Lepisosteus oculatus: one gene and its partners. The protein of the gene in region 1 binds, or shares a complex with, the protein of each later gene. Links are inferred from orthologs where the notes say so. Each region holds a gene or a part of one and is shown in the gene's direction. Other genes may lie near its edges. The genes, in order: ranbp2, nup93 and nup205.

What was found.
Region 2: ranbp2 (region 1) and nup93 share a complex: the UniProt entries of both Homo sapiens proteins name them as parts of the nuclear pore complex. The link is inferred for Lepisosteus oculatus from reciprocal best matches to the Homo sapiens genes RANBP2 and NUP93.
Region 3: ranbp2 (region 1) and nup205 share a complex: the UniProt entries of both Homo sapiens proteins name them as parts of the nuclear pore complex. The link is inferred for Lepisosteus oculatus from reciprocal best matches to the Homo sapiens genes RANBP2 and NUP205.

What each region holds. Positions count from the first base shown.
Region 1 is NC_090708.1:24,298,399-24,309,850, reverse strand, and holds the start of ranbp2 (E3 SUMO-protein ligase RanBP2), read left to right. Parts: upstream 1-6,479; 5' UTR 6,480-6,691; coding exon 6,692-6,763; intron 6,764-7,994; coding exon 7,995-8,062; intron 8,063-8,147; coding exon 8,148-8,259; intron 8,260-8,899; coding exon 8,900-9,052; intron 9,053-10,911; coding exon 10,912-11,142; intron 11,143-11,452. UniProt on the Homo sapiens protein: E3 SUMO-protein ligase which facilitates SUMO1 and SUMO2 conjugation by UBE2I. Involved in transport factor (Ran-GTP, karyopherin)-mediated protein import via the F-G repeat-containing domain which acts as a docking site for substrates.
Region 2 is NC_090715.1:1,141,030-1,152,059, forward strand, and holds the start of nup93 (nuclear pore complex protein Nup93), read left to right. Parts: upstream 1-6,852; 5' UTR 6,853-7,004; intron 7,005-7,607; 5' UTR 7,608-7,614; coding exon 7,615-7,793; intron 7,794-8,318; coding exon 8,319-8,436; intron 8,437-11,030. Other genes in the region: mt2 (metallothionein-2), read left to right, coding at 2,546-2,576, 2,748-2,813, 3,407-3,498. UniProt on the Homo sapiens protein: Plays a role in the nuclear pore complex (NPC) assembly and/or maintenance. May anchor nucleoporins, but not NUP153 and TPR, to the NPC. During renal development, regulates podocyte migration and proliferation through SMAD4 signaling.
Region 3 is NC_090702.1:8,696,908-8,707,503, reverse strand, and holds the start of nup205 (nuclear pore complex protein Nup205), read left to right. Parts: upstream 1-6,453; 5' UTR 6,454-6,483; coding exon 6,484-6,511; intron 6,512-9,237; coding exon 9,238-9,380; intron 9,381-10,596. Other genes in the region: agk (acylglycerol kinase, mitochondrial), read right to left, coding at 759-816, 1,092-1,171, 1,710-1,779, 2,054-2,148, 2,714-2,746, 3,988-4,080, 4,179-4,254, 4,375-4,454 and 2 more. UniProt on the Homo sapiens protein: Plays a role in the nuclear pore complex (NPC) assembly and/or maintenance. May anchor NUP62 and other nucleoporins, but not NUP153 and TPR, to the NPC.

The sequences.
Region 1 (11,452 bases):
GAAGAACTACCGCTCCTTTGATTGGCAGTTGGGATTGGCTCGAACCCGTGTGCATGTGAATGGCCTGCATGAGGGCGTCTTCCTTGTCGGTTTTTGCAGACGCGTTGAGCAGAGAAGCAGTTGGGAACATGAAAACAAGCCCCCCCCCAGCTCTGTTTGACATCCCTCGCAGGCTTTAATCGTTGCCCCGAGGCTGTTGCAGAAATCGCTCCTACTCAGGTAGCAGCAGTACCTCAGTCTGCCAGTGGCACGGACAGATTTTCCAATAAATGACATTTTTTTTTGTATGAGAAAAACTGCAACAAACATCTCTTCTTGAATATATATAGCAAGGGAAGGCTCTCTGAAAAAAATATTCAAGATCAGTTTGAACACCCATCTACCTATAGAAATCGGTGTACCTATAAAAAGGCCTCCAAGACAGGGCCTACACAAGGCCTTGGGCCTACGAACCTTAATCTGGGCCTGAACTCTGAGTACAAAAGATTATTCCATCCATGCAGTGCAAGTGCCTTCACAGGCAGTAGAAGTGTTTGTAGGTACCGGAGCCCTCCCGATGAGCGACCAGGGTCCGCCCCCTTCGCCCTGTTTTGATGCACGTCTTTGTCATAGTGGCTCCTAGCACTCCGAGGAGCGAAAAGCATTTGGAAGTCGCTGCGCCCTCGCGGTCGCAGAAGCCGAGCGCACAGTTCCTCGCTGGGCACCGTTGGCTCATTTTGCTCGTCTGTTTTCTGTGCAGGAACAAGTTTGTGGAGTTTGACATGAAGCCGGTGTGCAAGAAGTGCTATGAGAAGTTCCCCCTGGAGCTGAAGAAGAGGCTGAAGAAGCTGGCAGAAACTGTGGGGAGGAAATAGACCCCCCACTCCCACCCCAGCACCTGCCCCCACCCCTCCTGGCCGCGGAGTGCAGGCCCGGCGGAGGACACTACCCATGCTGAACACATCCAGGGGGCCATGGGAGTGGCGCCAGCACACCCAGTCTTCAGCTCGATTGTTTCAATAAGAAAACATAATGAAGTAAAATAATTAATGGTCAGAATTTTCATCAGGGCTGACTTCAGTCCTGTCTTTATCTGAGGCCTTCGCCTAATCCTGGTGCTCAAACCTTTACCTTGTGTAGCTTCAAGAATAAAAAGTGCTAACAAAGATACCTAACACAAAGCAATCTTATTCTGTGTTTCCGCATTTAAGCAATGCATAGAACGAGCATTTCAAATATAAACAGCCTGAAAATGTCCTCCCCAGTTGAGTCTTTGTAGAACGTGTGTGTTCATAACATGTTCAAGCCTAAAGGATGATGCTATAAATAAGGGAAGGAAGAAAGGGAGGACTCAGTGTCTTGTGTTCGAACATTTCAAACATTTTTAACGCCCAAAGAGAATTAACAGTTTGGATCTCTGAGAGATGATATGTAATCGGTGCCTCTTAAAATACTATTTATAGCTGGGCCTTTATAAGCTTGCTGATTTTTCCTGCATGGTTTTTGTACCTGTTTGTATCCTTTGTTTCTTGTGCCTTATCAGTTTTGTACCTGTTACATAGTAGTTATTAGCAATAATGTATTTGTGGTCTGCTGTGTTTTGACAGCCTGTATTTTGGTAGTCAGATTTATACTTGTTCTTAAGTTTGAGAGACACTGCCTTAAAAACAGATTAGCCAATACATTTCATGTTTATTTAAACACATCTTCATCTCTGTCTTGATGGAGAAGGAATACTTCCTGAGGGTAAAGAGATTGGAATTGAATATAATTTCTGTTGCTAACCAGAAATTATTCACAGCTATAAACAGCCAAGCATTGTTTACCTACCCTGGAGCAGTGTTACACTTTGTTTACTTTTTTAAAGTGCATTAGTGTGGAAACAAATTAAGACCACCTGACAGCAGTTTTTTTTTTCTTCTTTCTCACCTTTTGTAATCACTGTTTATAGAGTATAGTTCAGTTGATCTATGAAAACAGGTTATTTCACCTTTCTTGCTGGCAATGCAAGACCTCTAAGCAGTCCATACTTTGTACCATCACTGTAAGTTAGTAATAAAACAGTCTGTGAAGATGTTTTGCACAGCATATCAGATTTGACTGACAACACTTGACCTAAACCATTTACAAAAGAACATTTTAACATCTCGTATTCAGATGAGTTACCAGCAGTTAATCCTGAACGTGCTAAAGAGATTTCATGAACGTCAGAAAGATGAATAAGGCTTCTTAAACGCTGCTTTTCTTTTATTAAAACCTCACAGTAAACATGAATTCATGGTACACATTCCATGATAAAATTTGACACTAAAAATGGGTGCAAATAATTGAGACATGAAATTCAAATGTGTACTGTATGAATTACTTTTTGAAGGTCAAGAATCTGAGTCGCAATGTCTTGGACTGTCATTCAACATGTTGCATGTTCTCACAGTTTGTGATGCCACACTTTTGTTTAGAAGAGCTTCTGTGCCAGTCTTGAAATTCTGCTTGTAACCATCACTGATCACTCCAATAAATATTGTACTTTATCTTTATCTGTATTATTCAAGCAGCCAGCTCCAGTATTAAATAAAATGTATATTCTCAATCTCTTGTACAGTGAAGTCATTGCAGATTGTGGTGTTCTAGTATGAGCCGCATGTGTTTGGACATTTGGTGTAACACGTCTGCCTCAGATTGTGCTGGGTGATGCACTGGAGATGTCCAAGTTGCAGTCAGATGCTACTGCCTTTTTCCATGCAGATGGAATTATTTGTTTTTCCATTAGGCCCATTTGGGTTAGCACCATTCATTCCATTCACTCCTGCTCTTTAAGGAACACATGGAGGGATCTGTAAGATTCAATGAATGGCAACTGCCTGGATAATCGGACTCTCGAGCTGAAGACAACCTGACTCTGAAATCTACACATTCACTACGACTCAATCTCCTGACATAGCCCCAAGGGATTGAATGCCATTTACATCCATTCAGCATTTAATGAACTTTATAAAATGTGCAATATTGAGTTTCAATAAAAAAGAACACTTGTGTAAAGTTGAGAAATAAAAATTGTATATCATTTACTTGAAGGGTTAAATGCCTGTAGCCTCTGATCCATGTTCATAATTCCCTAATGTGTTATGTGCATTACTGCACTGTAACAGTATAATGTGATTGTTCTTTTTTTAGTTTGCTGAAATCGTAATTTCCATTGGAATCTATACTCCCAATGTGTTTCGATTGGAGGGATAAATCAGAGGCAAAAGGCATAACTAGTGAAAACCTGAGATCTTCTCGATTCTGGGGGACTTCGTCAGGTGGTCTCTCCCCAGGGGTCTACTTCGTCCGCTGCAGATGTGTAGCCCCTCCGCACAGCAGATCTGGGGAGGAGTATGAAATACCGTCAACAGCTAAATCAAGGGAAGGATTTAGGGAGGTCAGATTATATAAGACCTAACTGGAGTTCACACTTATTTTCTTGGAAACCAAGTAGTCAGGTCCTCAAGTTTATGTTATCTGAAGGATGTCATCATCTACAGAAGTGCTGCCTATCACCAAAATGGGACACTGGTTTTGAGCTGATCCAGAGAAAGAGCTCCACCTACTGGCTCATCACCACTACTGACAGCAGAAACATGATATTCCTCAGTCTCGCTAATCTAGTAATTAATTGACCCTATAAGTAGTAGAAGTCTTAGTAACAATATTTGTCCTCAGCAGAGCAAACGGGTGTGGTTTGTTCTGGACCAGCCAGTTTTCTCATCTGCATTCCACTTGATTCAACATGACAGTTCATTTGCTATCTCAGTTTGCTCCAAATTCACACTCTTTACGAGTCTGTAGCCCTTAAATTAAGTCACCAAGAAAACCTCCAGATTTGTAGCTTTACAGGATATGAAGTGAGTGTCACTACATTAAACGTATAGACAGGACAAAACCAAAGAGATTCGGCTCTTTTCATTTCTCAGTGTAGAATGTTTGAATAACATTTCCATACTGGAGGAAAAGTTGTGAAGAATAAGTGTCCTACTAATTATTACTACACAGTTGCAATTTGTAATCATCTCTGAAAATGAGAGGTAGGGTTGAAAACTAAATGATTAATAAGTGAATGGGCATAGACTACAGAGATAAATGGTCCTTAAAATTAAATGTATCTATAGAGAGTGGTGCAGTGTTTAGCATTGCTGCCTCATGGCACTGGGGCTCTGAGTTCAGTTCTGCATCTGGGGTGCTATCTCTGTGGAATTCTCTAATTGTTCACATGGATTTCCTCCAGATGCTCTGCTTTCCCCCAACAGTCCAAACATATATTGGTAGGTTTATTGCCTTCTGGGAAAAGTGGCTCTGGTGTGAACGTGTGTTTGTGTCTGTGTGTGCCCAGCAATGGACTGGAGTCCTGCCCAGAGTGTACCCTGCCTTGCACCTGGTGCTTGCTGGGATAGGTTCCCGTAAGTAGAATATCCACTGAAAATGGATGGATCATGAGTATGGATATCCATCCATGGATGGATCATGGATAGATGTGTATATAGAAAGGTTTGTTAAAATGTCTTGGGCTTATTCACTTCTATTGCCAGCAGGAAGAATGATTTAAGCACTAATTCACAGCTCTTTTTTGTAGAGGCTTCAAAATAATTTATATTTGAGAAATATCTTAAGTTGACATTTCCTTTGAAGAACTTAGGGAGAAACTGAATTAGGTGGAAAAAATGTGTCACTTTGCCCCATATAGCCCATTTCTACTCCCCAATAGCACCACAGCTCCAGAACAAAACACTGTGGCGTCTAGGAAGAAAATCTTAAAGAGCAGGAGCATAGAGATCAAACATTTTTAAATCGATGGCTACTGCTGTTGATATCTATGTGAGATTTCTTCCTCTAGAGTAATTCGAGTGTTCACTATGTTTAAAACTCTGCAGTGGTAAGACTGCCTATACAGTACATAGGCCAAGAGACAGTGTTGTACTTTCTGATGAGTTACTACGGTGATCTTATAGCAGGTCAATACTACATTAAGCCATTTCTTTCATTTTCATACAACAATTATTCATTTATTATGACTTATTGGATTAACATACCTATTTTCCTTAGTTTCCACAATTATTGACAACAGAATCCTCTGAAAACTCCTCAGTTTTTAATTCAATCTGAAATGTATTTTCTAAGGTACATCACAATGATTTGATTTTAGAAGCATAAAGTGTGGATTCCTGACTACATGTGCATAGTTTGCTGCACATGGTTAAACTGTGGTGTACCAATTCTTGGGATTCTTGAATAATTCTACTTTCCTCCAGCACTGTGTCATTTATCTCTTAAAACCATGTACTGTGACACACTGTCATACAGCACCTCCAACTTTAAAATTAGAAACACTGCCACATTGTGGTCGATCGATTTCCCAATCGACATGAAAGAACTCAGAGTCCAAAAGTTGATTAAATGTTTATTTTACTTTGTATTGTTTTGGGTTAGTGATTTCAGTACAGATTGCCTTAAGAAGAACAATCTGAGAACCAACACTAGAAAAGGAGAAAAAAAATCTGCTTCCAGATTGCAGGAAACAATGAGAAAGTTGATTGTAACGATGCGATTCTGATATTCTACACACAACTGCATTTTCTAGAAATAGTTCTTAAGAATTTTATTCAGAATTGCACCACTTGAAATTTAAGCACAGAGGTCATAAGAGTTACTGTGCTGTTTTTTGGTTTAAACACAATAAATGTTGTAATTTTCTTTTACAAAGGTGGCATTCAAGTTTGTTGAACTAAATGTTGGTCACTGTGCCCTGAAATGTTACCCTTAAAAATATTATATATTTTAAATCGAGTGGAGGGAAATGGCTGCTAAAATTCATAACGCTTGGTCTAGGAAAATATTATTCCAATACTACTGTACTAAATCTCCCAGGCACTGTCCGTCTGCTTTTTATTAATATAGTTGTTTATAAAGGGTTTGCATTACTAATGTATTATATGGATAATTTATCACATGCAGATGATCGCGCATTCTGTCGTGCAGTTATCTAGAAATAAATAGATGTGGTCGTTATAATGACAGTATGTACTGCGACTCTTTCAGATACTTTTGTATTTTAAGAGACATTTATAAGTAGGAAGTTGAACTAAACACAGGAGTTCAATGAACGAAGTAGTCGCACATCCACCACTCAAAAAGTCGTATAAACTTCAGAAACATGCAAAAAATGGATTCAACACCTAAAGCAATAACAAAATAAAGCAGATAAGCGTTTGAAAGCTCCTAGAGGGAAAATATTAGCGATAGCGCTGAATTTGTGAGGGGAAAAAAATCCGAATAGCTTTGAAAACGAAAATAAAACCAATCTTTGCCCCGCCCTTTCAATAAATGGAAAGACTGCGTTTACTTTGATAACACCGATAATAATGAAAGCCAGTGACATCACAGTGTCCCCACAGCGCTACGCCATAATATCTTTCTAGTCTACGCCACCTCCCTCCACTTAATTTTAAAAAGTAATCGCTAGGCCCTCAGGAAGTACGTCTCCTCCTGTCAGCGACTGACGCCAGAGCTGGGCGGGCGTGTAGAGGGCTCCTTCAGCCATTTACTGTCTACGAGTGGTACAGTAGCCGCACTCGTAGGGGAGTTTGAACTAAGAAGAAACCGGGCTGGTTACTTTTTCGTATTTTTCAGCGATTAAATCTCTTGGGTGTATGCACGTTTTATTTATTCGTAACACAACATGCGGCGCAGCAAGGCCGACGTGGATCGCTACGTGTCCTCGGTGCAGAGTTCCTCTCCGTCCCTAAAGGAGGTGAGTGGAAGCCGGCATGGAGTCGCCGCCGGAGTGCCGCGGAGAACAGAGCAGGCCTCGGCGGGCTCAGTAATCAATTTGTCGGGCACGGGATCGAGGGGTGCTCTGTGTTGTGGACGCTGGACACATACGAAGTTTGAACTCGGTGTTGGGCACTGAAAACATGCTTTTGGGAGCCACGCGTAGTTCCTGGTCGAGCCCCCCTTTGCCTAGGAAAGCGCGGCGGGCCCGAATGTTTTGAAAGTGGGAGCGGAGCGCCTTAGAATCGCCGGTCCTGCTTCCTCTGCAGATCATGAGCTGCTTGTTAACTACAGTTTCAGGTGTTTCGTAATCGTTGCTTATGTTTGTGGTACTATTTTTATAGTTGACATGTACTTTACACAAGATCTTAAACTTAATTTTTGGAGGGCCTCGTCGTTTGGTTTGGTGCACTGTTACAACTACTTTCAAATGAAAACTAAATAACTGTGATGCTTCTAGAATTCTAACCAATTTCCAGAGTGTTTCATACGTGAATATTTTGGGTAATCAACTTTTTGAAAGAAAACAATCTGTATGTCTTATAACTTAGAAAACAATTTGGTTTGACTTCTTAGAATGGAAGTAGCAACCAGCTGAAATAAGACTGGATGAAAATAACATTCAAAAGGTTTAAGTACAGTACTCGACCTCACCATTTCGATTAGAAGTGTGTTTGGTAATATAATATTTGATTCTAATTGTGACATTTTGTAAAACAAATGTGAAACCACATTAGAAAAAGGGAACAGGCTGTTCTGCTTTTGATTGAGATATAATCACGATTTTTGCCTCAGGGGAAAATCAAACGTTTATAGATCTTTCCTCCCACCATTTTTATCATGGTTTGCGACACACCTATTCCTGGTGTGAAGTAAGAAATTGTTCTTTGTGCCACCTGGAACATTTTGTCCAGTAATGTATGTCTTGACTTTTTTCCTTAGAGCTTGTAAAGCTCTGTACTTTATAGATTGCTTTGTTAAAACTTTTAAAGAGTGCTGATCTAAATTTCAGTTTAAGTATCCAGTACTGTTTGTATATTTGTATAATTCAGTGATGCTTTTAAGTGACAACATTGTAATCTTACAGTCTGCTTGCAAGTTGATGATTTATAAATGTGATTCGATTTTCAGTCCCTGTTGCCTTTAATAAGCATTCGCTGCAGACAGTCCTTTGTCAGCTGGCTCACTGGTTCTGTTTTTTCTTCTTTCAGAAGCCTGTAAAGGGATTTCTGTTTGCTAAGCTGTACTTCGATGTGAAGGAATATGAACTCGCGAAAAGGTAAGCAGAAACCTTCAGGTTCTGCCATTGCGCCTGGCTGAGGAAGAAGATTTGTATTTAAAATTGTATTTATTTATTTTCTTAGACATGTCTCAGCCTACTTAACTGTGCAGGAGAGGGATCCTAAAGCACACAAGTTTTTGGGACAGCTCTATGAAGAAGAAGGGGACATCGAGAAGGCGGTGGGATGCTACAAGGTCTGAACTGCGCTTTTATCAAGAAATCTCCCCCCCCCCCCCATTTTGCTTTCCAGGCAAAATGAATGAAGAATGAAAGGGACCGTTTTAACCCAGGATATGTTGTAGTGTGATGTCAGCCCTACTGCAAGTCCAGTCACTGGGTCCATAAAAATACCTTAAGCATTGATCAATATCAGTGTTTCATTTATTTATTTTATGGACTTCATTGGGTTAAGCCGGTTTGTTCTGCATACTTATTACATTCAGATATTTAAGGGAAAAGGTATGGAAGGTTAGGTTAAATTGCTTTATGCAACTGTCTGCAAGACTTTGGTCGTTGTGTCCAACAGGTTAAAATGCACAGATCACTGTTGTAAGGAGGTCAGCCCGACAGACATACCACTTAGTAAAAGCCCTTGTATGGCTGTCGGAGTTTGCTGAGGACGTTCGCTTTCCAGATTTATCAACTGGGCAACCCTGAAATGGATGTATGAACAGTCTGATTATGTTAATGTTGAAGGTGTAAGTAGTGCAACGCACTGAACGTTTCAGAAGCTGCAGTAGCGTGACTTGCATCGGGGCCGGCAGAGACTTGTGTTGGAGATGTGTGCAGTTCTGGAGTTCAGTGGCCACGTATTTTATGTTTTGTTCAATGCAGCGGTCTGTGGACCTAAATCCTGCGCAGAAAGACTTGGTCCTCAAGGTGGCACAGCTGCTGTGCAGTAAGGATGAGCCTGATGGCAGAGCGGAGTACTGGGTGGAGAAGGCAGCCAAGTTCTTCCCTGGGAGCCCTGCAGTCTACAACCTGAAGGTTAGTGAACACAGGCGGAGCTCTGCTGGGAAGGAGGCTGCTCATGGCTTAGCTACATATGTAAGCTGGCAGTTCTTAGAATTTGATTCGTGCAAAGGGAGCCATTCAAGCCACAGATCAAGTTCCAGTTAGGCTGGTATTTGCTCATAATGAAACCAGAGCAGAGAATGTTCTGCACAAGTAAGTCACTGTAAAAAGTCTTAAGATTTTAAATCCAGCTTCTAATCACGCAGGTTGCTCTACAGTGGCTGACAGTCAGAAATCGCTTAATTGGTTCTAAGGACATCGGACTTTCACCAATCTGTCACTTGACAAGTCCAGAAACAACTTAATCAGCTCCTGGTGACAGAGTGCTAGTTGTAGAAAATGCAACGGTTGACAAATGGTTGTATTTATCAAAAGTTACATCTCCAAAGTATGTCTTCAAGTGGGTACTGAAATGGGCATGATGAGCTTCGAGGAAAGGATCGAACGTCAAATTCATGTTTTTCCTGCAAGATTATGTTACATCTTGCTGCTGCAGCAGGAAGGGCTTTTGTAGGTATTATTATTTTGTCTGCTTGTTATTTCGTGTTGTCCTTTCAGCTTCTTATCTTCTCACTGAAAGAAAGTAGTTTGCCGTCAAGTGTGACGTTTAGTCCTGGATTGCCTCTTGACCATCATGGGTTTCAAAAGATCTTGTTACCAGTGTCTGATGTTCAGAAGTACTGGGTACTGCTCACCGTTGTCAAAACCCCAGTAGCAAGATGTATCGCGCAAATAGGTGGAGTGGGTTATTGCTTCTATGTGCAATTGTTATATAAGGTTGTGTCTGAATTTGTATGTTCTTGTGTCGCTCAATGATAAAGCACTTTGTTACTGTACCAGTTCTGCTGAGTGACCACAACTTTGTCAGTTGCCAATTACTGAGTACAGTGTTATTTAAGAGATTGTAAACAGGAACTCCTGATCCTCAGAATGCTCCAGCCTTTTCACTTAGGTGCATTACCACAGGAACAGGATGTTTAACCTTGTGCATATTATCCATTTATCCAAACCAGCAATGCAGAATACCTGTGTGCAGTTATGATTAGAAGCTAGATAGCTCTGCAAAGATTAATTGGTGAATGTAAAGTGTTGAAAACTAGGAGGTTTTTATTCTGATTCATTTTAAGCAGCTTTTAAGTCTAAAATAAGTCAGCATCCTGGGAGATCTGAATGTTGCAAAACTGTACTAAAAGGATTCTCAGTTTTGCTGTGCTTCTCTGACTACCCTGCTACAAGGTGACAGAACCCACATGACACATAGCAAAGCAAATGGAACATTTTACTGGGTGCTACATTTTGTTTTCCAAACACACACAAAATAAAAAAACTTTTTGTATGTTTTCGCCTCCAGAGTTTGACAACTTAATGTGCGGATTCTGTCATGTGTTTCTGGATTAACCGGAGGTATCGCATAAGAACACCGTACTGTTCCATGAGATGAATGCAGATCCAAGCTGCAGAGATAGTTTTCGCTCTCATGTTTAAAGTTTGCACATGGAATTGCTCCAGATAATACATGAAGGCAGATGAGAACTTTCTTATTTTCATTCCATATGGATGTCCCATTTCACAGTTCTTAGTACTCGGTGCTGCCAGCATCGATCTCTTCTGGCTTTTCCTTAGGACACTCACCTGCAGTTTAGAAAGGTAAAATTAAAGACTGAGGACTTCAAACCACTGGTTTTTAGTCATTCCAGTTAAAGCACTTGCTTTTGTAATGGAAGCCTGTGATAAGGCCGAAGCCCCGGTTGAACTCCTTTACAGACATCTTCCCAGGAGCTGTGCGCGGCAAAGTCCCAGCTGCTGGTTTTTCTGTGTCCCCTCCCCTCCAGGAGAAGCTGCTGACCGCGAAGGGCCAGCGCGGCTGGAACGAGCTGCTCGACCTGCTGCAGTCGGAGCTGCAGGCCCAGCCGGGCGACGCCCACGTCAACGTGCGGCTGGTGCAGCTGTACCGCCTGGACGGGCGGCTGGAGGAGGCGGTCAGGCACTGTCTGGGCGCGGAGAGGAAGGGGGTCCTGCGCCACAGCCTGCCCTGGTACACCACCGTGGTGCAGACGCTCCAGGTGCGTGGCGGCCGTGCTGTCTCCCGCTCAAAGAGACGCTCGGCGTCTGTAATGCAGCCGCTAAAGCTACAGAAACCGCTGCACCGTACTGAGAAAAACATTGTTCATTTGAGGTCTGGGTGGGGAAAATCCTTCCTTGGTGTTTCCTCTCACTGCCTTACTTGAGAGATGTGAGAAAAGCTCTCCAGTTCCTTGCTCGTCTGCATTTCCCTAGAGGACACGTGTATTGTTTCAAATAGGCAAAGCATAGGACTTAATGGAGATCACAGAAATATTTTTCTTAAGAGATGGTTTTAAGACCTCCCCTTAA
Region 2 (11,030 bases), on another chromosome or scaffold:
CCCGGGGAGGGTTATGCTAAAATTATATTTTGATATACCTGGCCGGAGGAGTAATGACCAGTTATAAAGGAAAAGATGAAGACTATGCAGTGACAGACAGTGATAGGCCGTGTTCTCACCTAACAGCTCCCTACCACTCGAGAGACGTGGTACAAACTTAAACACTGCAGTCCCACAGTGGGATTAACGTGGTATAGTACGTGCATGTCGTAGCCGCGCTAAAATCACGGACCACAGCTGGAAACTGTACCAGTAAAACCAGCCGTCAGCGCGATTAAAGATGTTGGCTGAGCCCTGCGCTCCTGGTCTTGCCCAGTCCCGATATAAACAGCTCGCAGCCTGACAGTAGGCCCGGCGCCGCGTTGCCTAGCAACGCACGACATCTTGACAAAGCTTTGCGCTAATCCCGGCCGGCCGTTTTCTTATTCAACCGCGAGAGGCGAACTAGGAAATCATACTCGTTAATGAAAATATGCAGGTAAATAAAACACACAAAGTTCAGCTTTCTTGGCACAAACACAGAAGACATGACGTATAAGGCAAAAAGTACTCTCGCAGGCTCAATCTCGAAAATCAACTTTGTCGCGCTTGATTTTCCTAGATTAGCCAGGGATGCCCTGACCTAAAACGTGAGGGTACAATTGGACAATTGTTCTATGAGCAAATTCGGACGTGTGCGTTATTGTATTTTTCTTTTAAATGCAGTTTCTTACCGGACGACCCGTCTCAAGCGGCGAACACACTGAGGAGCGTGCAGGCTTAGCTGTGACGTCACCAGCACGGAGACTCTGGGCTCGGGCTCCCGGACTCTACAAGACGGTCGCGAGCCACCGCGCGCCCTCCGTCGCGGCTCCGCACAGCGGCGTTTCCTCGAGCCGGATGGCACGCCAGGGTGGACTGCCAGGCGCGTGCCAGCGAGAGCCTCTCCCCTCCTCCTCCAGCGCGCAGGTCCCACGCATGCGCGCACACCCCGCTCGCCCAGGACCCGAGCTCTCACAACTAGCGCCCGCGCCACCTACAGCCCTTTCTGAAGAGGGAATGAACTTTTTTTTAGATGAACACAGAGTCCTACTTTCTTGGCATAAACATGCACGGTTCTGCAAAAAAGAGAAAAGTCGCTCTGAACTTCAGTAATTCTTGACACTTTCACAACAAGCCTTCGCGCGCTTTTTACTGTTTATTTGCATTTTATGTTATTGAACATGACATGAGTGAAATCTGAACAAATTAGAACTACCGAAACTCAAAGTACTTCTGAATGCAATGCTGCAAATATGTCAGGGGAGAAACAAAATGCGCCGTTTTTCAGAAAATTCTACCACCTTATAAAACAAGTTCGCATATTCTTAAACTGCAGTGAAAACTGTAAAATTGCAGCAATGGGTACAAAGAAAAATACCGTATTCTAAAGCGGATGATGGATTTAGGCAACCACGCAATTACAACATTCAACATATGTCATTACTCGGGATCTGTGGACCCGTGAAGTGTTGTTCTAGACGGTGTTTTCTCCTAATTATCGCCAACCAAAAGGGAGGGGATGAACACGCCGCGAGCCCGGGGCTCGTGCTCTCGCAGTGCCGTGTGCAGAGCCCCGGGAGTCATGGTGACGCAGCGCTCCGGACTCCCGGCCCGCGTGCAGCGGAGAGAGGGGCGCAGCGCTGACCTGACTCGAGCGCAGCTGCGCCAGACAGACAGTAAACACGCGTGTAGGTGGGAGAACAGAATCACCAGACGCCAAGACACCTTGTGCACTGACGAAATAAACACGTCTTTATCTGGCCTTAAATTAATGGGTATAAAGATAACGGGCAAGCGTTTTTCTACCAAGACTTATTACAGTAACTCACACAATTAATAAGTACCATCATTTAAGTATTGTACGTAAAACCATAACTTAGGATTTTATGATTTTTTATATTAGAATTCTATTTTATTAGCATATGCAGCTCACTAGATCAGAAGGTTTACAAAGGATGCCCAAAGAACTTATAATTATACTGATTGATTGTAAATTAATTAAACGGCAATAAATCTTTTGTTTTAGTTATAATCGGTATCAGTTCTCATTATCACATTCCACTGTGCACGAGAAAGACGTTTTTGTTTCGTTTGGAATATACAAATAAAAATAAAAAACATTCTACATCATTTTATTTTCAGGTTTGGGTCTAAGGTTTTGCGATCGATCGTCACATCAGTTGACCATTAAGAAGATCCCCTTATGATCGAGTCATCGCACCGCGTGCACAACAACGCCAGCAGCAGACTGACGACATGGGAATACTGTTTATCCCCTGACGCCCGGAGGAAGGCCCTCAGCCCCGCCGCGGTGAGACGCTTTGCACACCGCCTGGCGACGGGAGCGCTGCAGACAAGACGTGTGCAGGCCGGCCCGTTGTTGACTGCGCGCGCTCCGCTTTGCACTCGGCGTGCCGCGAGCGGCCGCCCTATAAATACCGCGAGCCGCCGGAGCCCGGCACGCACTCACAATCCCCGGAGCCCGACGAGGAGGAAACGCGAGAAAAAAAAATTCAATTAAAAAATGGATCCTCAGTCCTGCGCCTGCTCTAAAAGTAAGTAACGATCTGATTTATAGTGGTTAATAATGTTTCTGACTTCTGCCTTGCAAATAGACGAAGTAAAACGTGATGGAGACGTTGATGTGATGGAAACGGCGTCCTTGGGTTACCTGTGGTGTGATCTATGTTTTATTGATTTTCTTTTGTTTGTTTTATTTTTCACAGCGGGCTCTTGCAGTTGCGGAGACAGCTGCAAATGCACGGATTGCAAATGCAAAGGCTGCAAGAAAAGTAAGTTCTCGCCCTGCTGGTGCTGCTGCTGCTGCTGTAGGCTTGGGAATGGTTTAACGTGCTATAAAATCCTTTCGGAAGCTCCAGTGGCTATAGAAAGCGCTGTGCTGCAGAGCTGGAGGTCTTCACCTGCACTGGAACAGCACCGCTTGGGCTCTTAATATGGTCTCGCACCTATCAGAACTGTTGAAGTAGGTCAGCTCTTTAAACAAGATGTCATAATTATAGACTGAAAGGGGGAATATAACTTTAATTTCGCAGTAAAACTACGAAAACATGAAAATGCTACGCTATTAAACCATGTATACTGAAACAAAGTGTTGGTTACTATAATAACTAGTTTTAGTGAAACAATGTAGCTGTAGCTCCTCTGTGCGTTTGATTTACCAAAACAATGCGGCTCAGGTGGGCGTGCGCCAGGTTAAGACTCGCCGCTACAGACAGCCCTGAAGTACTGGCAGTTCTATTTTCCTGGTGTTCATTGTATGTCCTTGTTTTTCCCTCCACAACGTGGAGAATAACGCGAAAGAGTGCTCCGCGCGAACGGGTGGCCGGTAACCCACGCGACCTAACCGCCGGTTTTGTGCCCGCAGGCTGCTGCGCGTGCTGCCCGTCCGGCTGCGGCAAGTGCGCCTCCGGCTGCGTGTGCAAGGACGGCAAGTGCGGCGCGAGCTGCTGTCAGTGAGCACCTCGCCCTTCGTTTTCCCTCTTGTATAACTGCACTTGAGAATCTGGAAATGTAATGTTTTGTACGTCCTTTTGCTTTAGAAAATAAAAAGATGTCGTTGATTGCGTTCATTCTGTTCAATTGCTCTATCGAACAATGCTGGTTTATTTTAAACCAAACGCGCCCTTCATTGGGGATCATTAAGATGGTGGCTATAATGATAATTCCTTACACTTCTGGAGACTCCACTCAAAGCACTTTTCAGGTAATGGCGATCCCCTCCACCACCACCAGTGTGCAGCCCCACCTGGATGATGCAACAGCAGCCATAGTGCACCAGAACGCTCACCACATATCAGCTATCAGTGGGGAGGAGAGCAGAGTAATGAAGCCAATTCAAGATGGGGGATTATTATTAGGTGGCCATGATTGGTAAGGGCCAATGGGAAGTGTGGCCAGGACGCCGGCCATGAAGGCTGTTCGAGCCTGGCGTGTTAAGGCAGTCCTCCAGCTCCATGAACTACAGCGCCCGTCAGTCGGAGCTCCTGCTCTGCTCCCGAGAGGACTGACACCCCCTGCGCTTCAACACCCTTCCACCTGCGCTGGTTTATTTAATTCGCAAGTTACTTGAGTGGCACCTGTATGATGAGGGTTTTTCTGCTTGGCTCTGAGATCTTGTTAACCATGGAACACAATAGTTAGAACTTCTCCCCTGTTAATTAACATCAGAAAACCACGAGTTCATATTAACCCAATTACCTGGGCAAATAAGGGTTCAATCATGTAACCTAGACTGGGAACTCCCTGAAATTGTATCAATGCAGTAGTTACGGAAGATGCATCTTAAATATTTACCTACAAATCATTCTCATAGAAGCATAGACATCCAAAAGACCGGGACAGCGATTCAACGAGTGTGGAGCGAGCAGGAGCAGGGGTACGAGACTACAAGAGTGTGGATATCGACGATCGAGTAGCGATGACAAAGCACACAGCCCAGCTGGGCCTCTCGCAGCCAGTCTCCTGTGTTCAATTCAGCATTTTTCAATTGACAACTGTAATTGTTTTATAATATTTTTGGGGGAATTTAATTTTTTGTGCGCAGTTCAATTCCCTATGTGGGTTGATTTCATAACTTGTGTGCGTGCGCACACGCGCACAGCTGAGAGGGAGCATTGCTCCTTGAGCATTTTACAGAATGTTTCCTGATCTCCTCTGTGAAACTACAGTCTGAACTTGGCTTCCACAGACAGCCCAGGGAACCTGCAGAGCTTTGCTCTTCTAGTAAAAGGAAATATTTTGAATACTATGAGAAGGAAATAATTGTATAGTATATATCTCCTCTTAATGCAACATTAATGTATCATGATGTTCCACTATGACCAATAAAACAGTTATCACATGTTTAAGCACTGTTAAGTTATAGGGCTCTGGTGTGAAGTAGTGACCTTTAAAATTGTAATTTAAAAGAACTACTGAAGTTTTTGCTGAAGAGCACAGCGTTATGCTGGTCAGTGTTGTTGCCTCAGGAGATCTCGTGTCCTGAGTTCAGTTCTGACCTGAGATGCCTGTGTGTGGTCTGGCGGGCTCCTCTAGGTGCCCCAGTTTTCTCTGTGACTGCTGGATTAGGCTGTGGCTCATTGTGACCCAGGAATATTCCCTTACGTATGCCTTATAATTATTCAACATTATAATCCTCAAGGAGCAAACAGAACTCATATAGATCAAAAGAAAATGTCAATTGAAATAAAATCATTCATAGTCCAAGATGGAATGAAAACCGGATCAAGCTTGTGCCTCAAGAACCGAGAGTGAATATATAGATCAGGATCCAGCTGCTAGCGATAATGACCTCCAAGATCTCATGGATCACCGACTATCTGACAGGCAGACCACAGTTTGTGAGACTGCAGAACTGTGTGTCTGAACAGGTGGTGAGTAACACAGGGGCTCCTCAGGGGACAGTTCTTTCTCCGTTCCTCTTCACCCTCTGTGCTTTGGACTTTAAGTACAACTCAAAGTCATGCCACCTGCAGAAGCTCTCAGATGACTCTGCAATTGTAGGATGTATTGAGGGTGGGCTGGAGGAGGAGTACAGAGGACTGATTGACAGCTGTGTGGAGTGGTGTGGGGAGAACCACCTGCAATTGAACGTGGCAAAGACGAAGGAGTTAGTGATAGACTTCAGGAGGAAGAGGGTCCAACCTACTCCTGTGTGCATCCATGGGAGTGGTGTGGAGATAGTGGACTCATACAAGTACCTGGGAGTGCACATTGACGATAGACTGGAATGGTCTAAGAACACCGAGGCCAACTACATGAAGGGTCAGAGCCGACTCTACTCCTTGAGGAGGCTCAGGTCCTTCAATGTGTGTAGTAAGATGCTTCATATGTTCTATCAGTCAGTTGTAGCGAGTGCAGGTGTCTAAGCAGCGGTGTGCAGGGGCTGCACAGGTTGAACAACCTCATCAAAAGAGCAAATTCTGTCATTGAGTCTGATTGGGTCCCTTGGAGGTAAGATAAGATAAGATCACTTAATTGGCCACATACAATTTCTTGTATTAGGAATTTGTCTTTTTGTATTCCCCAACCTGCTCTCCATGAGACACACAGACAGGGAGAGAAGCTGGGGGTCAGAGCGCAGTGTCAGCCATTTATACGGCACCCCTGGAGCAGATGGGGTTGAGGGCCTTGCTTAGGGGCCCAACAGAGTAGGATTCCTTTGCGAGCCGTAGGATACGAACCGGCAACCTACTGGCGCAGATCCTTAGCCAAGGAGAAGAATGGTGTCCAAAAATGGACAACACCTCCCATCCCCTCTATGACACGCTTGTGAGAATGAAGAGCACGTTCAGCAATAGGCTGATCCACCCGCGGTGCGACAGGGAGTGCTAGAGAAGGGCATTCTTGCCTTCTGCCATTAGACTATACAACTCATCCACTGTGTGTCTGGGCAGGGGAAGGTTGACTAAACATGAATTCTCTGTTTACAGCTGGTTTTTCTGTTTACAACTGATGTGCAATATATGCTGGTGGATTTGTGCAATATATTTATACTGTGCAATACATCTTGTGTACTGCAACTCTGCATACTCCATTTTTTACTGCACTTCTCACTGACTTTATTGTATTGTTGTATTATTGTATCATTTTGTTACACTGTGCTGTGTTGAGTGTGCCTGGCTGTTGTTGCACTGCAATTTCTGCAATTTTAATAAAGTATCTATCTAATGGGTTGGTGCACGTAATCGCCATTGCGGCTCACAGTTCTAGAGCCAACATGGCGTCGGCCTCACGACGCGCAAGTGCGAAGTGCGGTGTTTGTCCTCCCCTGTCATTCAATAAAGTTATATTGAAGGCGCTGAGGCCTGTGGGAGCAGTGGGGTCCAATGAGAAGAGGGTTGAGGAAGTGCCGGGAGGAATGTGCTCCGCCGAAGGAGGGATACAGTTAGGCGAGCTGCTGTCAAAATATACATCTTTTTAAACGCGATATCGAATAACTTTACTTAAGTCTAAGGTAGAAGGTGAGTAAATCCTCGTATATGATGTTTCTAGTTCTGACAGAGGATCACTACGGCCTGTTTTTTCTCGACATCTTAAGCGCCGAGCTGGTAATACGCACGTTGGACAGTGGTTACACTGCGATTATTGTCCGTTATTGATCTTAGGCTTATGTATTTACGGTTTTCCAAACAGCATGATAAATTGTAAAAGCCTTTTTTTTCCCTGCACAAAATAGTTTCAGATTTCTGATTACGCGCTGTTTTACTTACAAGTCTGGGAAGAATGGCCGGGTTTCAGTCATTCAAGACACCCAACTGCGCTTTTGCTGTGTAAAATCTGGGCGCTGAATACTAATATTTTTTAAAAAATTCCCACGCTGATCTGAATTGTGGTTTGCAGGGGCCCCTTCTTTCAGTTTTTAAAGACGGGTGTATGAAGTTCTGTTATTTTGATGCTCCATCGGTGCCCGTTGTGATATCGGCCATTGTACGTTCATCGGTCCCCCCTGGACCGAGGAGATGCCTGTAGGTGACTGTGGTGTCAATAAGTGGATAGTGTTCGTCCTGAGAGCGATGCGGCCCAGAGCTCCCGCCCTCAGCTCGTCCCGCCGCTCCTGCCTGCAGGCCGGCCATGGACGCGGAGGGCTTCGGAGAGCTGCTGCAGCAGGCGGAGCAGCTGGCGGCCGAGACGGAGGCCATCTCGGAGCTGCCCCACGTGGAGCGCAACCTGCAGGAGATCCAGCAGGCCGGCGAGAGGCTCCGGTCGCGCACCCTGACCCGCGCCTCCCAGGAGACGGCCGACGTCAAGGCGTAAGTGCTGCGGCGCTCGGGGGGGGGGAATCTGAGCTCCTCAAGCTTGTCGTCTTGAAAAAGAGCAGCATTGAAGTAGTCTTGTTCCCCAGACCTGTCACTGTCCCTGTCTCCTGATGCCTGTGCCCTGTTCGCACTTCTGTTCATGCTTGCCCTGGCTTCCCTGCCAGAGGGCAAATGTGGTTACAAATGGTACTCGTCTTCAGGGTTTAAGGAGGAAGACTTGCCCAGTTATGAGTCTGCCCTCCTGCCATAGTGCTATTGGTTATGTCATGTAAATGATCTTCTCTTTGCAAATGTGATGATGAAGCTGATAATGTGCAACATTGGGCTGCTTGCTTTAGTAAAGACAGAAACCAGAAATAAGACTCTTAACAGTATAGATACATTTTGTATAGCTCATTTCCCTGACACACTTCAGCTGATTCTTGCCTCTAATGTTCTACACCCATAACCCAAACAGAGAGCGAGAGCTCAGAGTTGGTTTGTGTCCACACTATGCCCTGACTGGCCTGTCTGTTTCAGCTCAATCCTGCTGGGATCCAGAGGACTGGACATTTTCCACATCTCTCAGCGCCTGGAGAGCTTGAGCGCGGCAACAACGTTTGAGCCCCTGGAGCCCGTGAAGGACACGGATATACAGGTACCGTGCTGGTCCTGAGAGGGATCCTGGGTCCTGTGTGGGTCTGGTGATGTGTTACTGGGTGAGGACTGCTGTCTGCTTTGCACCGCTGTGCAGACCCATTGTTAGAAGGCCTTGTATCCGTTCTTCTTGGGTACCATAAAGTCCTTAGACTTAGAAGCCAGAAATGGCTTCTGTAATTGGTGCCAGGTGTGGAAGGCAGGAGAACTAGTCTGTTCCACCTGGATGCTCTTGGGTTTGTGTCCTTGGTGTGGGTGGTGCCACGGGTCTCAGAACTGTGACCTTTGGACACTGGGGGGTGTTCAGAGGTTCTGCTACTGCTCCTGGGCGGACTGATCAGGTTCAGTGTCTCCTGGCACTGGGCTAGGCCCGCAGAGGATCCGGTGCGCAGTGCCCTGCGGTTCAGAAGCTGCCAGTCCAGTCTGGGTCGTGTCACTAGCGGGTTGTGACAGGGAGTCCCCCAGCAGAAGCACACAGCTGTCGTGACGGCTGCCAGAATACTGCTGGCGTTAGCTGACGTGATGCAGCAAGGGCTGCTGGGACCTGCCTGGTGCCCAGCAAACATGCAGTGACATCAGGAGGTGATGTACCCCCCCTGCAGCTGGCATGGACTATCTGACATGAATCACTTCCTAAACTGGATACAGATAGATGATAACATGGTCGAAAATTCCAAATCAATTTAAAGGCAACAATTTTAACTTAAATGTCTTTCTCGTTAGTCACAGCTCCTGCAGATGGATGTTTGATTTATCCGATTGAATTCACACATGTGGTTTGACTACAGGTTTAGTCAATGCTGTGCGTTGACAATGCTTCTGATCTGTTGCTTTAGTTGCGTACACTGTCGCCCTTGTGTGGGTACAACAGGGCTCTGTGTGCTTCTTTGTGCTCAGTGCAGCCCAGCTTGTGTTTGGAAAGGGAGTGTTGCAGTAACATCACAAGGTTTTGTCTTTTGTCACGGAGAACTTGCTTGTGCTTGCCCCCTGCCTGTCCTGAGTGACCCTTCTTTTGCTGTGCAATACCCCAAAATCAAGCTGGCAGTTTGCAGCCGAACCCCAATCGCCGCCGAGCCTACCTGCAGTCCGGTGGGACCTGTTACGCCTCGATGCTGTGTCTGTGCTCGACCCGGGACGAACACAGTAGTGTGAAAGGGGCATGTGGGACCCTGAGATGAGGCTTCACCAGCCTGGAAAAGGGCCCTTCGTGCTCATCTCGGGGTCCTTGGTTGTTGGAGTGTTGATATTTAACACTACGGTTGTAACAGGGTTGATATTGTAGTGGTCTGATTTTGTGTTTTTGTTGTGCATAGTGGTACTGATTTCTCACAGCTGCGCTGTCCTGCCTGTCAGTATGGAACAGAACAAGCTGAGTTTCATGGTGTTGCAGTCCGTGGTGCACTGATGCTTCAGATGGTGCCTCTGGCCCTCGTGCTGGTAGAGTCCCGCTGAAAGAAGGGACCTCTCTAGACGTAGAGTTTGCTCAAAGCAAAGCAAAGCAAAGCGAAGCAGGAGATTTGTTTCGATTCAGTAGCTGCGAGATCATCTGAAATGAAATGAAAACGTTTGGAAAGGGAAACGTGAGCAGCCGGTTGCTCTCTAAGTGGTGCTGGCTTAACTGACCAAGTGGACCCCCCAGTCTGATCGAGGCTGCTGTTGCAGGCCTTCACAAGCTGCTGATTTAGCAGTGACCTGTAAGACCTGTTGGATTTTGGCTCTCCAGGATTAGGGTTGGACAACCTTGTATAAAAGGGTTAATAGATGATACAGCGTATCATAATATATTTACTTTTTTTACTCCTTTCACGTTTCTCTGCTGTGTTTTAGTTACTTCATTTCTATTTATATGAGAAATAACTGGCCCTGAGACATGTGCTTGAATTGCCCTAAGGGGTGCAGTTTGCGTGTCAATTTTCTGGGAAGAAGAGGAAGCGCAGAGTAACAACTGTGTTGCTCCTCAAGGAGAAAGTGAGAGGATCAGGCTTGAAATTAGACCTGAAAGTGAGGCGTCAACAGTTTGTGGTCACTGGCTATTGATCTCTGCTGCGAGGCTTGGGCGAAACCGAGATGGAAGGGGACGCTTGAATTAAGCGTAGCGCCTGCGTCCATGCCCACGCCAGCGTGTTACAGCGAGCTGATGCGGAGATGTGGCCAGATCACTCCGTATCGCTCGGAGGGCTAGGGTGTGGTGGTGTTCAGATGAACTGCCCACGGGCCCAGGCGATGTCCTTGAGTTCTGTCATCGAGCACTGCGATCACAACCCCCCCGACCCCCAGTTTCCTCATCGTGGGGTCCCCCCCCCCCCGCCAGCCCACTGCTGTGGTTCTCATTTCTGTGAGGCGGGGGCGGCCAGCCTGCGAGCTGTCAGCGGGGCGAGGCGATCAGTCGCAGGCCTGGGAGGGGGGGTGATCACACTCTTCTCCCGGAGTCTTTGTGTGGCTGCGTGGGGGATGGTGCACGCATGCTAATGAGTTAATGGGAGCCTCATGCAGCTGCCAACTTGGATTCATAAACTGCTGATGTTTCTGCAGAGCTGTGCCATGTTTGTTCCTGAATGCTGCAGCTTCAAAAACGGAAACGTTCCCCCCCCCCGT
Region 3 (10,596 bases), on another chromosome or scaffold:
TGACAGACACCTCCTGATATTTGCACTACAGTATGAATGTAACTACACTTTGTATCAGGATTTAAGAGTACGTAAGGAAAACTCATTAAAAAAGTGTTGATCAGGAAACTGAAAAATGAACATGCCCCTATCCACATCAACGGAACTGAAGTGGAAAGGGTCAGTAACTTCAAATTCCATGGCGTCCATATCACTGAGGACCTCACATGGTCTCTCAACGCCACCTGTCTGATCAAGAAAGCGCAACAGCGCCTGTACTTCCCCGGCTACAGACTGTATGACCCTCTACCATCTGGAAAACGGTACCGGAGCACTCGGGCCCGGACTACCAGACACAGACAGTTTTTACCTCTGCACTATCAAACTATTAAACTCCCAGCCTCCCTTACCTACGATCTGAACCTCACAGTCCCTTCTTTCTTACCAAAAACTCAAACACACATTAAAATCTACCTCTACCTCACATGTCAAGAAGCTCACTCACCATAATTATCTATCCTTTATTTCATTCTGCACATCTTTTGCGCATTACCTATTACCTTTTGTTGTTTTGCACACTGCCTGTTGTCTCTGTCTTTCTTTTACTATACAATTGTATTGTTGTTTTTTGTACTACTTATCATCTTAGAGCTAGCTAAATAGCATTTCAGTATACCATATACTTGTATATGAGTATAATGACAATAAACTTGAACTGTACTATATACACTAAACATAAATACTGTATGTTAAGAAAAAAAGAAGCAACACCACCTTACCTTCAATGTACTGAAAAGATGAGCTGCCTTTGTTTTTAAAGGACCAAGGTACCAATATCTGAGATGGTAAACAATTAAAAACAATAAAATATACATGAAGATGTAAGATAGAAAAGATAAGTATAAAAAATATAAAAATCTACAAATGCAAAGGCCTTTTAATTTTGCATTTTAAAGCTTTTGTGCTTGGTGCTCTTATGCTCAGAATATGACTGGTTACACTGAATTTGAACAAGAAAAAAAACAACTTGCACAGGCTGTCAGGATCCAGCTATTGGAGAAATGGCTAGTTTTCAGCTGCTTTAGGATCAGTTAATAAAATCCACGGCTTACTTGCTAACGTTGGCTGTTACATCTCTGTATGCTCCCCACCTCAACCCAGTCAATGCAAAAACAGGCTGGTCTCTCTCCCCCTGCGAAGGACATGGATATATGAGTGGAGTGTTATTTCATTTTGTCCTGTGTATCAAGTTTGGCATTTTATGACCTTTCAACCAATGCATGAAATTATCTGAAAATACAATTTACATAAGATGCAATAAACACTAAATAATAAAATATAAACATCTTATGCTGCACTTCTGAATTTGTTCATTTTTCAGTGTGATTTATTTGTTACTTCTGAGCAAGTTCAACTGTTCACTTGCTTTTTGTTCGATAGTTACTGTATTTTGCTTTGGTTTACCTAATATAAATAAAGTTGGTCAAAGGTTACTGGACTGAGCTGTGTAAAACAACAATTTTTACAACAGTGAGGCTTGGAATTTCCTGCCGTCCCACCATGACCTGTCAAAATATTTACGCAAAGACTAGAGTGAACAAAACAGACAGCGAGTGGGCATTAGGCTCTAGTATAAAACATTGAAAACCCTATGACGCTCAGACTTTGTCTAGAGCTTGCTCAGTGTAAATGACAAACTGTGGAGGCTGGAACATTTAGCTCTGTCTCACCTTTATCTGAAGCACGTCGAGAGGGACAGTTTCTCCCTTCAGGATTGAGAGAGCAGCCTCAGTGATGTGTCTGAAACAATGACAACACGTGTGCCCTGAAAGTAATTCATACTCCAGTGTAACCTCATATATAATCTGTCAAATTTAGTTTCCCGTTTAATTAATCCTATCAAGACTGACCAGCAAAGTACTACTGACAATTTTTACCAAACCAAAAATAAACCCACAGTGCAAGGGAAGAAAGCACTCAGGACCAAGAGAGAAACACTAAAAGTGAACAGTAAGATTAGAACTGACATGATTTTGGTCAGGGGTTGTTTAAGTCTAGGCTTTGAGATACTCACTTCACTCTGTTGTCACTGTGAGGGTGCAGAACGTGACTCAGGGAATTATGGGTACCCAGGGGAATGAAACCAATTGGCGTTTTACTGAAGGAAGCCTTTGGAAAAAAAAAACTTTCATTAGTCTTATAGCATGGTAAACGTAACTCACAGCTTCCGTAAACATGATGTAAACTGTTAAAAATCATGCATTACCCACATGAATTCATTTTGTTCTAATGCAAATTCGCACCCCAGTGTTGAGCAGCATACAATTTATGATAAGTGATCATCTTTCGCACCTAGAAAGATCTCCATTCTCCACAATGTTTTCATAGTTAGGATCAACCTTTTTTACAGCACAGTCATGGATGCATCACTGATTTTTGACAGTGGGTTTGCTTTCAGAATACTTTCTGTATCACAGCAGCGGATGAGTTTTGATGTCACCTCACTTCCTTATAGTGACATCTACTCACATGCTAAACTTGCTTCACTCTTCACGGTTGGCTGAAGTAAATCCTTTATATTGGTTTTGGCATTAACCTCTTTAATGCATCATATGCTAAGTCGCATCACACATTGCACAAATTTATAGAGCTTCCTTTATTCAGCTTAATAGTAACTGTCTCAAAGCATTGATGTGTGTGTTTTAGTGTCAGCTCAATCTCAAACCATCCTCACCTGATCAGCTCTCCGAAGAAGGCCAGTTATCACCTACAAAAAGAAGTAACGAAACAGGTCAGTGATTTTGATTTTGTTAAATGCTCCTCTCTATTTAAATGTGCTAACTGTTAGCAGATGCGCAAGGTAGCTAAGAAATGACCAGAGAAGCCAACCTTTCAGACTCATAGGGAGTCACAGAATCCGAACAAACGTGAGAGACAAAAACAGAAAATGGACAAAGAGCCAGAAAAAGCTGCCGAGCAAAGCAGCATTGGAGCTGACAGTGGAAGCCAAACAGAGCCAAAGTGAACAATCTTTCTTCTGTTAGTATGAGTTTAATTTTCTGGAGAGGAAAATAAAGGGCTGTCATGTTATTTTTCACAATCATGTGCTGGCAGTTTTTTTATAATCAGCCTGTAACAGAGTTAAAATATTTTTTCAGACTCATCAAGACATCCCCGTTACTTATGAAGATCAGTGAAAGACCTTCTGTGCATTATTAAGATGTGACACATATGATATGTGATGTCTGAAACGATTATTTTTTACAAAATTGATCAAAACTCTTAAGACTCTATAGACAACATGAATAATTAAATTTGAAAGGGAAATGGGAAATGCATTTTAAAAATTGCATTGTCTAAGAAAGGGGTCAGTGTGCTTGTTGGCTCAGCATGGTTACATGCTGCAAGATGCATATTATAACATTTAATTCTTTATGTTGTTTTAGCTGAGTTGAACATAACTATTGCCACATGTAACCATGTTGAACAATGCAAAATTTTAGAACTCTTTCCTAAAACCGCCCTTTCAAATTCAATTCTTCATCTGACTTTATCAGACATGTTTTCAATGTCTAAAAGACACCTTCAAATGAGCTGTAGCTAACATATTCATCCTTTTGTAGACATACAGTATTTGGATGAGCTTGGAATATTTGCAGAATAAAAAATTAAGCACAGTCAAAAACATTTTTGCAAGCTTTAATACTTGGGGGGCGTGGGCTTGATTCAAGACTGGAAAGCCTTCTGGGTGGAGTCTACACATTTCAAATGTTGCAATCTAGAGATGCTCAGGTTTCCTTCTCCTGTCCAAATGAATGCTGGCCAGGTTAACTAGTGCCTCTAAAATGACCCTGTGTGCCTGCAATGGACAGGCATCCCATCCAGAAAGCAGCCTCTCCATGTGCCTCCTGATTTGCTCCCCTCCTACCAGGAATAAGTGACTTGATGGATAAGGAGCATCATCAGGTCCATCAGTAAATGCAAGTGATTAGAAACACTGTGCTGTACCTCCTGTAGTGTCCCATCTCCCCCTGCCACAATGAGGAGATCAGTATGTTCCATCAGGTCCATCAGCTTTTTTGCCTGGCCTTCATAGTCTGTCTGGGAGACCAAAGCAGCAGACGTGTTGACATGCCGAAACTCAGTGAGCTTTAGAAATGCAGAGACTTTTAATACGATGACCAGAAAAACCTACATACCTTTACAAGCGTAACCTCCATGCCACCCAAGTGCAGAATGGGGGCTGCATTTTTCTCAAACAGGCTGGTGGCTTTTCTGGAAAGGAAAAGTCCCAGATAGATGCTTAAAATGTCGTGCAGCTAACAAGCAAGGAATTGTAGTTCATACTTCTGCAAATGCATTCCGTAGTTTGGCATGATTGTCCCTTTATCTTACCCGCTGCAAGCTGCAGGGTTGAGAATCACAGTGGCTTTTTTCACTTGAACATGTGCAGGAATCCCCTGGTGACCATACTCCTAGAAATGAAAAACACAGCTTTGACATCAGTCTTGACAGTGCTAGTTATTTTTGAGGGGGGGGGGGAAGAAAACTGTACCTGGAATTTTTTTCATTGTTGCAAAAATAACTTAAAAATTGTGATGACCAAGATTATTTTGTATTATTATTCATTATTACATGTTTTCTTATATTTTTTGTTTCTTTTCACTAGTTCATCCAAATTGATTAATGCCATCTATTTATTTTCCCAAAACAATTAGTTAAAGCAAAACTAAAGATAAATTGCTTATGGCTTGAAAGAACTTAATAGTGAGTGTTGTATCCTTCTGTTCTTCATGTAATCTGCTCTTTTATTATATATTTTTTTAAAAGCAGATATAGTGATACAGTTCAACATCATTCATATCTACAGCAGCAAAAAGCAAATAAGCAGAAACCTAGTGTATTCTTTACCATGACACTTTTTCTTTTCTAGTGCCAATATGTAAGTACAGAACCCAAAACTTAATGTTTGTAGCTAGTCTTGTTGTTTCCATTAGACTAGTTGTATGCTTCTGCAGAGTAATATCCATACCTATTGTCTAGCTTTACAGGATGCTTCCCATAACCGTTACACGAAGCCAATCACAACTACATGCAACACACAAAAACAGAAATGTACACACAATACATACAGAATCTCTTACCCGGGCTTCCTGACAGGCTGCCCGCCGCAAAAGATTGTCGCTAGAAAGAACAGATTCAGAAATGAGGAAACCGGTACATTTTTTTTTACATTCTGCAGATGTTTTTAATACATCTGGGACTTCTTTTTACAAAAATGTTACATATGTGTTGCAAACAATGCTGTACATTAGCAGCACAATCATATTAACATTGTTTTAGATAAGTGCTTGGCAATTAACATACTAATTGTTCTAGGGTCGAATGTCACTGCACCCAGATATAACCGAGCTGAGCAAACAAGGACATTATGACCCCTACTTTGTTAAACAATACGAATTTTAAGACAAATTCTAAATATGCCCAGATTCCGATATATTATACACGTCTTTTGTATAACATGATAAATTATTGCACAGTAGCTATGTACCAGTGTTTTCCATAGAGCCAGTGTCCACCGTAGGATACCACACAGACCCCGAATACAGACTTCTTCCAGTGATTTCTCAAGGTCTGCAAGATTTTCAGCACCCGTGCCATGAGGAGGAAGTTAGTGACCTGTCACCAGACAACTCCGTCAACACCCTATCTAAATATAACACTATCAAGACATTAAAAACAAACAATTGCCCTTTCCCCACAGCTCACTCCGTTCTCACATGCAACCTCTAATAGTGCAGCAGCTAAAACAGTCCCCATGCGCCGGAAATATTTCTTTAGTTCCCACACTGTAGGCACGGTACACAAATCAGCGCTTATGGTTTTATGTCATGAAGACAACGAATACAAAATTGTTTTTTTTCGAAGTACAGTCTGTTTATTACATACAGTGAATTGAAAGCGTGTGGAATCTTTTTTTGTGTAATAAAATATCCATTAGTCTCACTATAAATGTCAGCACAGCTCTTCTGTCATTTATAGGGGACTTATTTATGTCCCCTATGTTTTAAACAAAAACAGACACGCATATAAACAATGTATATATATATAAACATATCTTCTTTCTAAAGCACACCAAAGCCTGAATAGGTTTTTGTTGTAAGACACGCATTATAAATCTACAGAATTGATAAAGCATTTTTTTATAGCCGGAGAAGACTACATTTCCCGATATAAAAAACGTGTTAATCTTTCTTCCGACATTCATACTGGACCCCGCCTGAACAGAAATTTAGAATGGCACTAGAAACGAGCAACAAATTATGTTTACTTGTAAAATATGCCTTTGATTCCCTGTGGAAAATTATTTCGTTGTCCACAAATGAAAACAAACACCAATGAAGACGAAATATTTTAACACTACAGCTTTAAGAATATAGCTTTTATATTTACTCAGGCATGCATGAGACACCCCTTGTCTATAGAGCCTGAGTTGACTCCAACATGGCTGCGCAGATGGCGGTAAATTCAGGTATATTCATTTTAAAATGTATATATGTATTAAATAATCATATTAAGGACATAAAGTAATAAAAACAGTCCGTAATAACGGTGCGTCTTAAATATATAACACACATTTTCGTATAACTGTTAAATATTTATAGAAAAAGCGACCAGTAATACCACCGGCAGCATTTCTTGTGTTGCATGGGCACACTAGTTCTTGTGATGAGCCATGCTATTGCAGAAGCGGTGTTAAAAGAAAGCTTAAGAATACAATCGAAGAACAAATGCATGCGCCCCACAGTCGTTCAAATAGGACATCTTTTCGTGTCGGGATAGGAAAGTAGCTAGATGTGATCGGGAGAAGTGCCTCTTTGCTGTTGACGGAAGTTTTGCGTTGAGCTATTTTGAAACGAATCTGAAACTAATCCTGCTGGTTGTGTGGTTGTGATTGATGATATTTATTTATGTTTTTGCATTGTACTTCACCTGATTTGTTAATGATTCATATAAAACAATAACAGAAACAACGCCAGTATTGTCAGTCGTAATTAAGAAAATTACGTAGCGTTATTCGCTTTATTTAGAGTTTTGCCAGTACTGAATGTGAAATTTAGAAAAGGTGCATTTTTTTATTTGGATAGATTAGGGTATTCTCTGAACAACTTGACGCATGGTTTTGCGTCAGTGAGAAATCACTGTAACGACATGAACTGGTCAGTGGAGATTGACAACGTACTGTATGTATTCTTAAGTAATGTATTGGGATGAATTTAGACACCTGCTGACAGTTCACTATAATGCCATTATTCTTGCACGGGACCGCTTGTCTTGATTGTGTACGATTCTTAAGAATTTGCATTTCTTTATTGTGCGATTTGAGGCTTGAATATAGAACCGCGTTGTTAGCACGCGAGGGGAATCATTTTTGTTGCAGTTAAATGTTTTGTTCCTTGTATTTTGTTAAATTAGTACTATTGATTATGTGTATGTACAGTAAACCCTCGGATTAACGGACTAACAAGAGGGGAAAAGGGGTGTCCTTAATTGACGAATGTCTGTCAGATCAATTATGACGTTTTTCTGTCCCAAGACACACATGTATGCATATAAACTGTACTATACGTTTTATCTGAATAGTTTGTCTTATTTTTGACATTTTTGATCCTAAATATACAAGCTCCATTTAATAAATCATACGTATACGTTATAATATTCGCTAAAGTTTACGAAAAACAGATAAGCAATTGACTTTACTCCTACAGAGCACCTTTGACGTTCCTGAATTTTAAAACTATGTAGTATTTGTTTTTAAATCCGGTAAATTGATGGTTTACTGTATACGCAAAATACACTTTAAATGTCTGTAGTATCTTTACTGAATGTCTGAATAAAAGAACGAGAGAGATGCACAGATATGTATACTTTGAGTACATTGTACGCACAGAAAGAAGACTGTCATGCTGCTCTGATGTTTTTAATCTTACAAAACGTAATTTCGGATGACGTTCTGAAGATTGTTCCATAAATATTTTTCTTATATTTTGCTCACATCACAAGGGAAAATTTCATAAAATATTTTTTATTCAGGGTGGTTTGCATTGCTGCCTCACAGTCCAGGGTGTATCCCTCCTTGCACCCGTTGCTTGCTGGGATAGGCTCCAGCTCCCCTGCGACCCTATATTGGAAAAAGACGTTAGAAAATGGATGGATATTTTGTTTCAAGGGAGATGGCGAAAAGTCTAAAATGATTAGGTGTTCTAATACTTCTATTACTTAATCAGAATTATGATCAAATAAGTGGGTGCTGCATTTCAGTTTTGCATAAAGTAATGGGACTCTGCATTATAGAAGGCAAAAAATTACTGTGTAATAAGCCTGCACATAATAGAAGATCAGGTGGTGAAGTGAGAAATCGCTTAATTTGAATGAAGTAAAAACTTTAGGTAATTGAGATTTTGCAAACCCAAGATTTTGCATAGACAGTATTTACCATATTTACCATACTGGGGTGTTGGTTTGTAAATTCAAACCAACAGCCCAGTTCCTTGTCTAGCTTTTGCTATCAGATAAATCAGGCTACAGGGTGGTAATATTAAGGTATGCAATGTGAATAAAAATACATTGAATATTGAGACCAATCTAAGTCACCTACAGCTGTAACAATATAAAGTCTACACACATGATACAGAAAAGACAGCTGTATCCCTAATTACAAATCACTGTTTTCAATTAACATTGAAAAAACAAGGAAATGTTTTTGAAGTTCAATCCTATCAGGGCAAGATGCATCTACTTCCTTCTCAGGTCACTTCTGATATTAAGACACTTGTTGTTTCAGTCTCGTACTGTCAGCTTAATTCACAAGCTGTTCTTCTGAAGTAAAAATGGAGAACGAAAATTAATTCACCTTTGACTTCCATACATAGTTAACCATATATTAATTTGAATAAAGCACATAGGATTAGCAAAGAATAGGTGATGCAGTGCAGATGAAAATGTTTGGAATGTGGCACAGCTTTTTTATTGTTAGGAATTAACCTTTAATTGTTAGGGGCACTAAATTAAAAATATTAAAAAGGCACCTGTTATTATTACAGTACAACGTACACAAGTACTGTCTTTTCGGTACTTTGTTTGTTTGAGGTGATGTCTAGGTTTTTTCTCCCAAAGAGAGAGGTGTTAGTTGCTGTACTTCCTGCTGATGGGGATGGGTTTTGCTTGGCCTGAGCTGACCTCCTCTGCCCCTTTTAGGAGCCAGTCTGTGGGGGCCGTTCAAAGAGTTCTGGGAGACAGTGGTCAGTGCCATCTGGAGGAGGCAACCAGAGGCCGTGCATCTCCTGGACCTGATGCTGAAGAAACACAAGCCCCACTTCATCTCACTCTTCAAGAACCCGGTAGGGTGTGAATTCTTGATATGTTTAACGTGTGGTCACAGCGGCGTTCACATGCTGAATGCCTTTAGACAATGTGTGGAGGCAATAAAGACGGCAAGCAAAATTTCAGGATGTCTCATTAAAAGTAGGTAGCTGCCTCAGCATGCGTAGGCTGCAAAGGAACAAGTTAGTGATTATTCCATGCTGAAAAGAGAAGAAAATAAATATGTTTCGGCTGTTGTTTCTTTTCTTCTCTTTTCAGCATGGAACGAACCTTTACTTTGTTCCAATGCACTGTTATGAACGTCTTTAGACTTTTGGGCGAAAATGTGGTAACCATCTTGCAGATAAGATGTTGCTTCTTGAAGATCTAAATACAGAGCCCTTTTGACTCTTCAGTGACATTGACAAAGGAAGTTTTAACTATCTAACATATTTTCTGCATTCTGTCTTTGATAAGCTATAAAATCTTGTAACATATTGGAGTACTCCAAAAGGATGTTAATGTTGATAAAGACAGTTGGTGTATAGCTTTATGCAGGTTTCCTTTTTAAATACCATTTTGTTTTGTCCTCTGTATGCTTGTAAATATGTGTCTGCTATATAACATGACTTTAAAAGTTAGTTATAAAAAATGTATTTTTCTATGTCATCTGTATATATGACTTTATTCACATGCTGTTGGGAGGTTTCAGATCTTTTTCTTAAATAAAAAAATGTTTGGAGAGTGATCATTGGCATATATGATGGGGGCGGAGCGGTGGCTCTGTGGCTAAGGATCTGCGCCTGTGACTGGAAGGTTGCTGGTTCAAATCCCGCAGCCGGCAGAGGAATCCTACTCCGTTGGGCCCCTGAGCAAGGCCCTTAACCCTAACTGCTCCAGGGGCGCCGTACAATGGCTGCGCTCTAACCCCAAGCTTCTCTCCCTGTCTGTGTGTCTGTGTCTCCATTGAGAAAAGCTGGGGTATGCGAAAAGACAAATTCCTAATGCAAGAAATTGTATAGGACTAATAAAGAAACATAAAGAAACATATTCTGGAACTGCCCTAAAATAAGGCTTTTCTGGAAGGAGTTACATGAGGCCCTGGAAACGATATTTGAAACGAATGTACCCTTTACATTTGAGGCTTTATATTTTGGTAAACTGTATTTTGATTGGAGGCGAACTGATTAATATTTGTTTGGAATCCTTATATCAGCAGGGAAGAAAGCTATAACAAGAACGTGGCTTCTCCCA